3 linked regions of the Cricetulus griseus genome follow. The protein of the gene in region 1 binds, or shares a complex with, the protein of each later gene. Links are inferred from orthologs where the notes say so. Each region holds a gene or a part of one and is shown on either strand. Other genes may lie near its edges. The genes, in order: Edn1, Ednrb and Ednra.

What was found.
Region 2: the proteins of Edn1 (region 1) and Ednrb are in contact, whole or in part, in a cryo-EM structure (PDB 8XWP), measured with the Homo sapiens proteins. The link is inferred for Cricetulus griseus from reciprocal best matches to the Homo sapiens genes EDN1 and EDNRB. Residues at the interface, in NP_001403492.1 of Homo sapiens: Cys53, Ser54, Cys55, Ser56, Ser57, Leu58, Glu62, Cys63, Val64, Tyr65, Phe66, Cys67, His68, Leu69, Asp70, Ile71, Ile72, Trp73; in NP_000106.1 of Homo sapiens: Pro88, Pro89, Ile94, Glu95, Ile157, Asn158, Lys161, Glu165, Asp166, Trp167, Val177, Pro178, Gln181, Lys182, Val185, Phe240, Ile243, Met245, Tyr247, Leu252, Ile254, Leu256, Leu257, His258, Pro259, Lys270, Lys273, Leu277, Trp336, Leu339.
Region 3: the proteins of Edn1 (region 1) and Ednra are in contact, whole or in part, in a cryo-EM structure (PDB 8HCQ), measured with the Homo sapiens proteins. The link is inferred for Cricetulus griseus from reciprocal best matches to the Homo sapiens genes EDN1 and EDNRA. Residues at the interface, in NP_001403492.1 of Homo sapiens: Cys53, Ser54, Leu58, Asp60, Lys61, Glu62, Cys63, Val64, Tyr65, Phe66, Cys67, His68, Leu69, Asp70, Ile71, Ile72, Trp73; in NP_001948.1 of Homo sapiens: Tyr68, Gln72, Thr73, Lys74, Tyr129, Asp133, Ile136, Asn137, Lys140, Leu141, Gly144, Arg145, Trp146, Gln165, Lys166, Val169, Glu220, Phe224, Val227, Phe229, Tyr231, His236, Lys237, Thr238, Cys239, Met240, Leu241, Asn242, Gln252, Lys255.

Annotation. Positions count from the first base shown.
Region 1 is NC_048596.1:261,974,044-261,977,763, reverse strand, and holds the end of Edn1 (endothelin-1), read right to left. Parts: intron 3,037-3,720; coding exon 2,878-3,036; intron 2,716-2,877; coding exon 2,602-2,715; intron 1,226-2,601; coding exon 1,123-1,225; 3' UTR 586-1,122; downstream 1-585. UniProt on the Homo sapiens protein: Endothelins are endothelium-derived vasoconstrictor peptides. Probable ligand for G-protein coupled receptors EDNRA and EDNRB which activates PTK2B, BCAR1, BCAR3 and, GTPases RAP1 and RHOA cascade in glomerular mesangial cells.
Region 2 is NW_023276807.1:255,426,112-255,430,437, forward strand, and holds the start of Ednrb (endothelin receptor type B), read right to left. Parts: upstream 2,816-4,326; 5' UTR 2,783-2,815; coding exon 2,300-2,782; intron 1-2,299. UniProt on the Homo sapiens protein: Non-specific receptor for endothelin 1, 2, and 3. Mediates its action by association with G proteins that activate a phosphatidylinositol-calcium second messenger system.
Region 3 is NC_048596.1:153,440,969-153,444,614, forward strand, and holds part of Ednra (endothelin-1 receptor), read right to left. Parts: intron 1,038-3,646; coding exon 885-1,037; intron 1-884. UniProt on the Homo sapiens protein: Receptor for endothelin-1. Mediates its action by association with G proteins that activate a phosphatidylinositol-calcium second messenger system. The rank order of binding affinities for ET-A is: ET1 > ET2 >> ET3.

The sequences.
Region 1 (3,720 bases):
CATTACCTTGACAGGCAAAACAAAGCATGTTCTCAATTTCATTCAGAAATACATTTTAAAAAAATACATAGACCAATATGGCCTGCCCAGACATATATTCAACATGGTAAATATAAGGAATAAATTGTTTGAATATAAATATCTATAAAAAAATAAGTACATCAAATTCAATCTAACCTTTTCCATTAGCCAGTTACATACAGGAACAAACTTTTACTGCTATATAGCACAACCAGCTCTCCAGATCTTTCACAAGCAACTCTATGCCATTCATTGTATCTCCCAAGGTCAAGGGCAGGGGCCAGAGTCCGTCATCCTTTTTCTCATAGATCAGGGTTAGCAGATTAGCATGGAAATGTTTCATCTACTACTGACTGACACATTAGACTAGACTTCTATGAGGCGAGGATTCAGTAAAGGGGATGGGGAGCCTGGTGGCAGGAGAGGAGGGAGTACAGGGAGGCAATAATTAGGTAGGGAATAATAACAGTAGGGAATATATATGACAGTGCAGTAAGGTGAGGTAGACTCATATTCATGAAACACATCCTAATGTACAGTAGTAACAGTTGCTTTGAGTTTTGAATTTTACAACTTAAAAAAAATCTTTGTCCTTTTTTTCTTTTTTTTTTTTTTTAAAAACTCAAGTGTTTGTCCTTTGAGTATGTTTTCAATTTGTACATTCCTCAGAAAATTTTTGCATGGACTTTGGAGTTTCTCCCTGAAATGTGCCAGGCGCCTGAGTCAGACACAAACACCCCCTAAGGACTTTCTTCAGAAACTCCACCCTGGTGTGGAATCTCCTTCCTCTCTGGACGATGCCACCCTAGAATGTCATCATGTCTCTGCTCTCTGAGAGGTCCGCTGGCATTCCCAAACAGCGAGAAGGGGCGAAAAGCAGTCACTACCAGCAGAAGCAAATGAAGACAGGTTGGGGAACATCTCAACCTCTCTTGGAATGTTTGGAACAGAGATACTGGTCCCTTGCCAGTCTGAAACTAGAAACTGTAGAAGTGGGATGGATGTTCTTTTTGAGAACCCAGCCAGCATGGAGAGTGCAGAGTTGGCCATGGGCTTGCTCTATGGACTTGACGGCTTCCAAAACACAGGGAAGCTCGGTAGTCAGTGTGCTCGGTTGTGTGTCAACTTCTGGTCTCTATAGAGATCAGCTTTCAACTTTGCAACACGAAAAGATGTCTTGATGCTATTGGTGATGGCCTCCAACCTATTAAAACAAGACAAGAGAAAATAAATGTTACTTAAGCACATACACAAAGAAAGAAATCACTCCTTGGCTAAGGAAACATCTAAATTTAGAATTTGACACAAACACATTAATTCTAGTTCCTAGCCTTTTATAAGGTGTGACAGTGTGTTACTCTTTGATAAATCCTCAAGCAGTATCTATGACTACTGAGAATAAACCCTGCCATTTCTGCCTAGTATTGCAGAGAGGGATCCTATGAGCAGCCTAAGAGGACTCTGGTACTAAATACTATGTTTGAACAGCTCCAACCTCTGCTTCTGTGGAGAAGTGGCACATTGGCACCTTCTAAATCATATAAGAAATGGAAGTTAGCAGGTGGATGGAAAGAAGAATAAGGGAATAGTTGATAACAGTTGAAAATGTATAATTTAATGTAATTTAATGTGTGTGTGTGTGTGTGTGTGTGTGTGTGTGTGTGTGTGTGTGTGTGTGTGTGTTTATGAGACAGAACAGATGAAGAACTGTAGCATCAAGTTAGTAGTTGATATCAGACAAAGTAACAAACTGGTACTGGTCTTCAGGTAACTCAGCAACTGTGACCTAGTGGAGAGCAAACCCAAGGTGGCAGGGGTGAAGGGAGCTAACTGTGGCCTTCCAGCACAGGAGCAGTAACCAGCTCTGCAGTCCCTCCCTGATGCCATACTGGGATCAGAACACTTTGGTCTCAGAACACCTTGCCCCTGGATTTCTTGGGAAAGCTTCTAGAGATAGGAGCATTGTGACAAGTCTGAACAAGAGTCCCTTAACACCCCCATCTTCTCAGTTTCAAAAGTTTAGACTCTGTAAGGATCATCAAAAAGCTTCTTGTAGCCCCCCTATGGGATTGCCTAATCCAGCTCTCTCCTGGGTCATAGGAAGCAAGAGAAGTGGCATGGCTCTTCCAATTTCCATATTTAAGCAATGGTAATGGAATAAACCTGAAAAACAGCATGTTCTAAATCTCACCAACCTTACCTAATGGCTTTATTTTCCTTTGGCCATTTGAATAATTAACTGCTACGTTTTGGGTAATACATGTAAATATTTTTCAATGTCTTTTTCCTTGACCCGATTTTTTAGCTTCTTGAGGCAAGCAGAACATAAAAACCAGAGAAGAAAAGCCTGGATATGTTCAAATTCCAAAGCCTCCTCTCAGTGTGGTCCACCTATAGGCCAGTGTGTGCTAAGACACAAGGGGCAGGTGTCTGCACTCAAGGCCCGAGTATTTGAAGAGCCCTTTGCTCTTTTAAGTCCACAGACCACGACAATTTGGTCCTGTACAAGAGCCTTTTCCCACTAGGAAGGGAGGCATTAGCATTGCTGTCCAGGGCCAGTGGTCATCATGAGCCTCTTACCTTCTTATTTTTCTTTCTTCTACCAGTTGCTGGTTGATACACTTCTTGCCCAGCTTGGAACAGGCTTTTCTTTTCTTGAAGTCTTCTAAGCCTTTCTGCATGGTGTTTTGGGCTCTGGGTTAAGACACACAGGGAAAGCATTTTAGCAAGGGCACGTTGAGGCTCACCTTGACTCTCCAGGCCTCTGCTACTGTCTCTACAGTGAAAAGACAGTTTCATAGGAAGAAGGCCAGTGGGTTGCACAACTCTCTGACAGGTAGAGGGGCTTCTGCTCACCTGAGTTCTTTTCCTCCTTGGCAGAAATTCCAGCACTTCCTGTCTTTTTGCTGAGCACACTGACACCTATTCCCGTGGTCTGTGGTCTTTGGAGAAAGTAAGTCCTTCAGGGAACGCTTGGACCTGGAAGGGCTTCCCAGTCCATATGGAACAACACGCCTAATACAGAAAGAGAGAAGGAAAAGATATTAGCTTAATTAATAGTCTTTATTATAATAACACATTCTTTGGTCATACAACTCTGACAGCATTGGGACAGCTCATGATGGGAAAGTGTGGAAGCTATTTGGCATGTTTACCCTTCAGTGCCCCCCAGTGAATGTCCCCAAATGGAAGAACACAAGCTTCTTTTTTTTTTTTTCTCTAATTCAATGAAATTACAACACCTCTGTTTGGGTTTCTGCTTTGTGTTTTCTTCCTTTTCTAGCACGTGATATGGGTGGAAGAAGGAAAACTACGGGGCAGAAGCAAAACCATAACACAAGATTTTCTACTTCAGTCATGTGTGATGATAATGCCAGACATGCTATCTGGTGCATCAAGGCATACTGGGACAGTGCTCCTCAAGATTGGTAAAATCTCACTGAGTATGAAGGGCTTAGCGCCAAAATGCTACCCAAGCACTTGCAATGAATCCACTTCAGTTCTCACAGCAAGGAATGTCACCCTCTCCTTGGTAGAACCACAGCTAAAGATTAGGTCCACAGCGGTTTGGGTCTGGTTTGGTTTGGAATTTGGCCAGCCATTGTGGACAGAATAAATGTGTTTGTTCTTTCTTAGGATTGCTTCTGATGAGTGGACTAGTGTTGGGGGCCGAGGGTGAAATACCCTTGGTCCACTCAA
Region 2 (4,326 bases), on another chromosome or scaffold:
CTCATCAGTGACTTAAATCAGGGCTGATAGCAAGGTATCCTGTGACAGGTCATCCAAGTAATTTAATTAAATACAATGAGTACATAGTGGCCAATAAATAGTGGCCACTGTTGTTGCCTCAAACTACACCAAGGCAGGATTTGTAGGAGCTCATGTTGACACTCATAGCTGTGGGACCCAAGTTTCAGATCAATTTAGATGACTACCTGTTTAGTTTTATAATGACTCATCAGTTTGTTCCAGAAGTAAAAACACAGCTTTAGTACACTGAATAGCTTCGGGGTAAAGGATGTAACTTCCCAGGGAAATAATAGAGGGACTTGGAAGGAAACACACATGCTCAGTCAGATGTTCTAAGGGTTATGGAAGTAGTCATTTCACCAGACAGAAAGTAGAGAGGTCTCAGAAGAGTCAATGTCTATCTGGTCTGGTGGCAACACAAGGGAAGAAAATGTTCTTAGCCCTGCCTTCCACACAACCATGCAATGGCTGGCTGCTGTCAGGAGGTTTCTAATTTGGTTGAATGTATAGGTCAGTTGAGGCTGCTCCAAATAGAACTTCCATTGATTTTCTGTGCATACCTAGCAGAAGTACAATATGCTCTCGACTATGGAGAGGAATCTTGACTCAGCTAAGTTAAAATTTCCCACACTTTCCACTGTAAAGTGTCTCAGCCACCACAGAAAGCCCTAACTTGCCACTCTGTAAGAAGCAAGTGGGTCGCTTCATATCCCACCAGAGCTGTGACTGCACCTAAGAAACTTTTCAGGCTGTGTCTCCAGGCAAACGCTCAGAGTCTGTCAAAAGCGTTTGCTGTCCCAGATTTTTTTTTTTGCAGTTCTTCTTTGTATTTCTGTTAGCACTTCCCTTCAGGGTCTGGATCCTAATCTATGTCCCATCTCTAAGCCTCAGAAATGTCTGGAATTCCCTTAAAATGTGGCTACTGGGATTAGGCTTCCCAGAGAACGATGAAGGGAAATGTCAAGGGTTGCCTTGTGATAACGACTCATGTCACTTAGGTTGTAGTACGTTCCCTAACCTAACACTGTCTTCCCATTGAGTAGAGGCCAGGGTAGGCCTTCAGCAAGTCCGCCATGCACAGTCTCATTCCTTTACGCCAAGGCTGTTTTATGTGTGACTCTCTATTGCTAACAATGGGAAGCAGTGCTATATGTTTGCACAACTCTAAACATCCCTGGCCCTTTCATTTGGTCAGTTTTTGTTAACATCACAAATTCACCATAGGTGGGCACTGGAAGCTTTCTTGGGAAATGGAAGAAAATGAGAGCCACAGGTGCCAGGACATGTCCTAACTTCCAAAACTACCTGAAGTCAACACTGTGGATGTTGACTACCTGTTTAGTTTTATAAGGAAGAACAAGTCCTGCCTTGTTCTCTGAGCCCATTTCTTCTGACAACTGTGGAAATCATAGCAATTTTAACTATTGAAATTTTTATTGACCTTATTACAGAGTTCTCCTCTGTCTTGTCCATGAAGTAAGCGGAGATAATATCAGGAAGCTTACATTTGGGAACCAGGCATCCTGGACCCTGATCTCCACCTCTACCTCACGGGGGGCCCTTGAGCATCTTATTAATCATGATTAAAACGGCAATAACTGTCTATTGGTGGGTTGCTGGAGTGGATAAAAGAAGCAACACGTGTAACTCAATAGTTGGACCAGGCCATTTATTTCATCAAGACTATCCAAGGCTACTTGCAGCAAGGAATTGGAGTTTCACTGACTTACCAGTCTGGGCCTCTTTCACCCAAACCATTAGTTTTCTAAATCCTTACTGGACCGCTGCTTTCCTGGCCCTCAAAACAAAGCCCTCTACAATTACCTTGCCCTTCAATCATCTGTGTGTCATAAGTTTGGGGAAGATTTGCATTCCTGACAAACTCCCAGTTTGTGGACCATACTTTCAGGAAGCTGTACCTAGAAAGGCTGACGAAGGGACTTGTGATTCTCACACGTTAAATTTTGTCACAGTTACATAGAAAGGATTTTAAAAATATATAACTGTCTCGCAACTACTCCAGAGCCTGTGATTCAGTATGCCTGGGTTGGGAGCCTGGATTCTTCTTTCTAATAATAATAACAACAGTGTTACTGCTCAGAAAGCTACACTTGTCAGAGGCTAAGAAAAAACCCAGAAGAAAATCTGGTTCAATAGTCACTAGGAGGAGAGGAGCAGTGTACCTCAGGAAGCTCTTCCCGGTACTTTAACTTTAACGGTGGTTCCACTTACCCCCCACCCCTGTCCCGCTTCCAGCCCCTCAGATCAGGGGCATTACCTTGTAGACATTAATGGGGATGTCGATGATGATGTGTAGCAGATCTCCCAGAGCCAGACTGGCGATCAGGATGTTGGGACCATTTCGCATGCACTTGTTCTTGTAGATGATCCTCAGCAGCGTGGAGTTCCCGATGATGCCCAGCACGAACACGAGACAGGACACAATCGTGTTGATGTATTTAAAAGTCTTGCTGATCTCACTATTTCGCTGGCACGGAGGAGGGAAGGATCTTGGCGGGACTCCAGCCACCCTCCCTCCTTTGGTCACCTCCGCAGGTGCTGAGGAACGCGTCAGACTGGAGTTAGAACCTTTCGTCCAGGAGGTCTTGGTGGGTGGTGTCATTACCTCTCTAGTCCCCAGAAGAGACGGTGTGGCTTGGGCAGGTGGGAATCCTCTTTCCTCTCCCCAAACTCCCAACAAGCCACAGGCCAGCAGCAGCGCCACCAAGGCGCGTCCGCACTGGCTTGCCGGCGGATGCATGTTACAGCTTGCTCCAGTGGGAGTCCGGTAGCCGCTCCGCTGCTTTCAGTCTAGAGACCAACAGGGGAATGAAGGCAGGGCACTTTTGTCAGCCACCCCAGCCACGCCTCTGCAAACACTCACACTAGCCCTGTCGCCACTACCCGCGCAGCAGTAACTTCAGTTTGCGCGCCAATGGGGAACTTGGGCGCGCGCCACCCGCTCGCCCGCATCCAGTCTCCTTCCTGACCCTGCTCGCTGTGTTTTAATCCCCAGCTCCTGGCCCTGCGGTAGACCAGTCGCGGTGGGGCGGAGCATTCCGGCAGGGGTGTTCCAGACAGGGGAGGCTGGGTGTCCCAGGGAAAGAACACTGGTGTTTGCCGGGAAGAAGCAAGACCGTTTTAGCTAAGCTTCAGGACCCAGAATGAAGAAGGCACCTAGCGGCCAAGGGCATGCATCAATGCACTCAGCACGAACTGAGAGAATGTCAGCATCAACTTTTGTGTTTTCTAAGTGACTTCATTCAGTCGCATTTCAACCCAATCTCAGTGTGAATCGCAGCTATGTGTAATTTTACTTATTTTAAAGTCTCCAAACTGTTAGAGCAAGGTCCAGTCTCACATATTTTAATTTCAACACTAACCCAGAATGATTAGTTATCTAGCAGGAATTGGAAGCCCCAGGCTCAACCACCAGCAGGGAACCTCCTATCCGGGTCATCGAACCGCCTAGGGGGCTTGCAGCTCGCAGAGGGATCCCATCTGCTCCTTCAGCTGCAGGCAGCTCTGGCTCTGACCAAGGCTGAGAGAGCGCCAGACAGGATCCTCAGCAGCTCACTGGGGTCGCTGCTGTCCCCAGACAAGTACTTTTATTCATTCGTCCCTTCCCCAGCATCAATCACCCTCAGACTCCTCCCGAGTTTTCTGAGCGACCCTGCCAAAACCTTTCCCCTTGGGCGATGCCTGGACAGTATCAGCCTCAGCTGCCCACTGGAAGGGGCAGTCCTCACTGTGCCCCACGCGAAACTGTTTATTTGCGGTTTAACTATGTAAGATCCTACGTATCCCATGGCACTCTGGGGGCTGGAGATTAGGACAAGGCTGTGTTAATCTGACTTTGAATATCCTGACTTCTCACAGAAATGTCCCCTAGTGATGCTTGAAATCTGCTTGGTCTGGGGGAGTTGCCTTTCATTTCTTTCTTTGCCCTTAAGTTTCACGTCAACAGGAAGGGCCAGGATCATTTCTCCTCAGGCGGAGGGATTGCCCAAAGCAAGAAGGAGTGAAAGACATCCTTCACTGTGTGCAAGTGTAGCTCTTCCTGGGTACTGAACTGTCGCCAAGCCCCTACAGGGATCTTTCTACGGAGCCTAAAAGGGACCCGAGACAAGAGACAGGAAAATAATCAGGAAGCAGACTCGCAAATTCAACCTGATGCTTATTTCACCAGACAGCAACGAAACAAATTCTTCCTGTCCACTCTTGAGCTCGGTCTTTCAGGCACAGAAGGGAATGCTACTAAGCTGCCTGTTTGCTCAAAGCTAAGAGGTGCGGGTGCTGTCGGCA
Region 3 (3,646 bases), about 110 Mb from region 1:
CCAGGGCTTTTGTCCTCCAGCTGAAACAGCTTTTGCCCTCTGCTTTCCCACACTTATCCGCACACTCCCCCATTTACAGACAATTTCTCCATAGTTGCATTTCATATATTCCCTGGCTTTGTGTTTTATGGCTACTTGGATTGCACTTCATCATTCTATTTTCTAATTGCTTGTATTGTATTTTATTCTACAACTAGACTACAAAGCCCGCAAGGAAATGTGGTCGTATGCATCTTTCTGTCCTGGCACAGTCACAAGCCCATTTCAGTGCATCCATGCACACATGCTCGGTACACTTTTTGACAAAATAAGCACAAGTTAACTGTCTTTAAGCCCAGCCTCCCAGGGCCATCTGGTTCACAGGCAGGATTCCCACTCCCCACAAGGAATTCCTAAGACTATATAAAGAAAACAGCTACAAGAGAACATTTTTATTTTTAGAAAATTAGCATAAATCTGTTACATACGACATAGTCATGTGCCGCTCAAAAACACAGATATGTTTTGAAAAAATGTGTAGCTAGGCAATTTCAACACTGTGCAAACACCAGAGTGTACAAGCACACTGCTGGATGGTATTTTCTACCTCCCAGTCAGCTGTGTGGTCCAGCGTGTTGCTCCTAGACTACACATCTGTCTAACATATTACTGTACCGGATAGCGTAGGCAATTGTAACACACTGGCATTTGCCTATCACAATATATCTTAGCATGGAAAAGATACTGTAAAATATGCGAGGCGATGAAGTTTTTCAGTTCCACTTTAAACTTACGGAGACACAGTCATTTGTGCAGTTGCAGCTGACTGTGATGCTTGTAGAAGCAAGGGGCTTGCTGATTTCAAAGCGGCCTCAACCAAGTTCTCGGGAGCTGTGGAGATTTACCTGCTTGAGGTGTTCACTGAGAGCAATCCGCAAGCTGCCATTCCTTCTGTTGAGCATCTCACAGGTCATGAGGGTGTAGAAGATTGCTGTGCACACCAAGGGCATGCAGAAGTAGAACCCGAAAAGCCACCAGTCCTTCACATCTTGGTAAAACTGTTCAGTGAGGAAAAGGGAAGAGAGGTGCTGAAACATAAGCTGCCTGTGCAGTACCCTGCCTGCTCACAGTCCCTGAGATTGTAGATGCAGTCACATATATCCTCTTTGACGGAAGTAAAGAGCTTGCATTGTGCTCAGTTTTTTAATTTTTATTTTTCAGCACTGGATCATGCCTAGTAGGGCTTTGCAGTAACTAGGAAAGTGCTGTCCTCTAAGCTGTAACATATGAAGACATGTGTATTAAAGTTATCCAATTATCCCTCCAAGGGTGCTTCTGAGAGCTCTGAGCTCATTTCTATTACACAATGGAGGAGCTCTAATCAGTGCAGAGTCTCCTCTTGAAGTTCATACAATGGGATCTGAGACTTCATCTTTGTTTATTGCTGATAAGATCGGCTGACTCTTTGATATGTGTGGTTAAAGTGTGCTTAATGTGGGTATCTCATGTAGGGACACTGAAGGCTATCAGTGAATGGCTGATCTGTGGCTGAGGTTAGTGGGACTTGACCCTTTGCCTGGTATGCCTGCTATGTGACCCCAGAGTCAGCCAGCTCAGTTATCAACAACTCCTCTCTCTCTCTCTCTCTCTCTCTCTCTCTCTCTCTCTCTCTCTCTCTCAGTACTTGCCACCTGGAAACTACTGAGTGGGGATATTCTAGCTATAGCTAAGGGCTGACTTGGTACTCTCTCTCTCTGTGGGCAAGGATTTATACAATTCCATATTGTTCAGTTTTCTGTCTTAAAAAACTATTTTTATTTTATGTGCATTCGTGTTTTACCTGCATGTATGTGTCAGGATGTCAGATTCCCTGGAACTGGAGTTACAGACAGTTGTGAGCTTCAATGAGGGTACTGGGAACTGAACCCAGGTCCTCTGGCACAGCAGTCAGTGCTCTTAACCACTGAGCTATCTCTCCAGCCCCCAGTTTTCTGTCTTTTTAAAGGAGGATAAAAATGAAAGTTGAACAACACTACTCAAATGCTTTCCCGAATTAACCCTGAACTTGGGAAGGTATGCTCTTTACTTCCTTATGCTCCTTCTCCAGACTGTTTATTTACTGAGGGTGCCGTAGCCTTCTGTTCCCGAAAATATGACCACCCTGTTCCCTGAGTACTGGCAGTTTCTGTGCATGGAAAGGAACCCTTTATGTCTAATTAAGTCATCTAAAAGTGGTTCCAGAAGACAAACATTCAAGCAAGGCTTCATAACAGTTAAATACCACAGAACCCTCAGAAATCTGGTGAACACGAGAATTCCTTCTGAGAACAATATGGTGTGTGTGCTTGAATGTGTGTGTGTGTGTGTGTGTGTGTGTGTGTGTGCTCATGTGTGCATGGGCAAGACCTTAGGTATCATTCTTCAGGAGACATCTCCCTTGTTTTTTGAGGCAGGTTCTCCCACTGAGACCTAGGGCTGGCCAGTTTGGCTAGGCTATCTGGATAATGCCTGTGACCTGTAGTCCTTTGCCTTCCCAGCACTGGTTTTACAAGCCTATGCCATCATGCCCAGCTTTTTACATGGATTCTGGGGGATTGAACTTTATTATTTTATCAACTGATAAAATTCCCAGACATCAGCATTATATTTTAATAAGGACAAAGTTAAATGTATGTGGTTACAATGGAAACCAATTGCATTGAAATGGAGCTATCAAAATACTGAAAATAAAATTCTGATAAAGATATGTCTTCATCACCAAATTGCATAGCATACTCTGTGAGTTCGAGGCCAGCCTGGTCTCCAGAGCGAGTGCCAGGATAGGCTCCAAAGCTACACAGAGAAACCCTGTCTTGAAAAACAAACAAACAAACAAACAAACAAACAAGGAAAGTCAGAGGAGACTATACATTCCAGGGGGAATTTAGTAAAAATAAAAAACTAACCACATTTTCTTTCCCATCCAAGTTCCCAGACCCCTGAAATCTATCCCAGATTAAATACAAACTCCCAAATGAGTTTGTTTCTTCAGATTGTTAAAAAAAACCTCCCCTAGTCCATCCCATTGTAGAAGGATATCTGTCTGGAACTTAAAAAAAAAATCCAGACTCCCTCCTTGTTTGGAAGTATAGTACAAACATCCTGTGAGGCTTTCCCCAGCCCTCCACCCCCTCGCACACCCCACTTTTGTATCCTTTCCCCACAGAATTGCAGGCTGAGGGGGTATAGCCTAGAAGCACCTGCCTAGGGTTTGGAAGGTGACCCGGGACTGAGCTGGATGGAGTATCCCTTCCATGACCGAAGCCTACTGAGAAAGGGGCTACACGGTTGTTTTTGACTGACATCATCAGCTGGGGAGTGGAAAAGGCCCTGGGACAGGAAGGGCATTGGGGCAGTCTAGTGTAGAGCACAGCTGAAGAGAGGAGCATGAAAGGAGACAGGAAGTTATATCAGAAAAAGGTGTATCCAGACTTGGAATAGATGCTGAAACCTCACCAGTTTGACTCACACCCTTCATTGCAACCCATAGCCACCCCTGCCAGTACTTCGCTCCCTCTCTCAAACCCTTGCCTCGATATCTCAGGCTTTATGACGTCACTTGTTCCATGTTGTCCTTTTCCAGGGGTTAGTTAAGTGACTTCTTAGGAGACCCTCTCTCCTATAATGC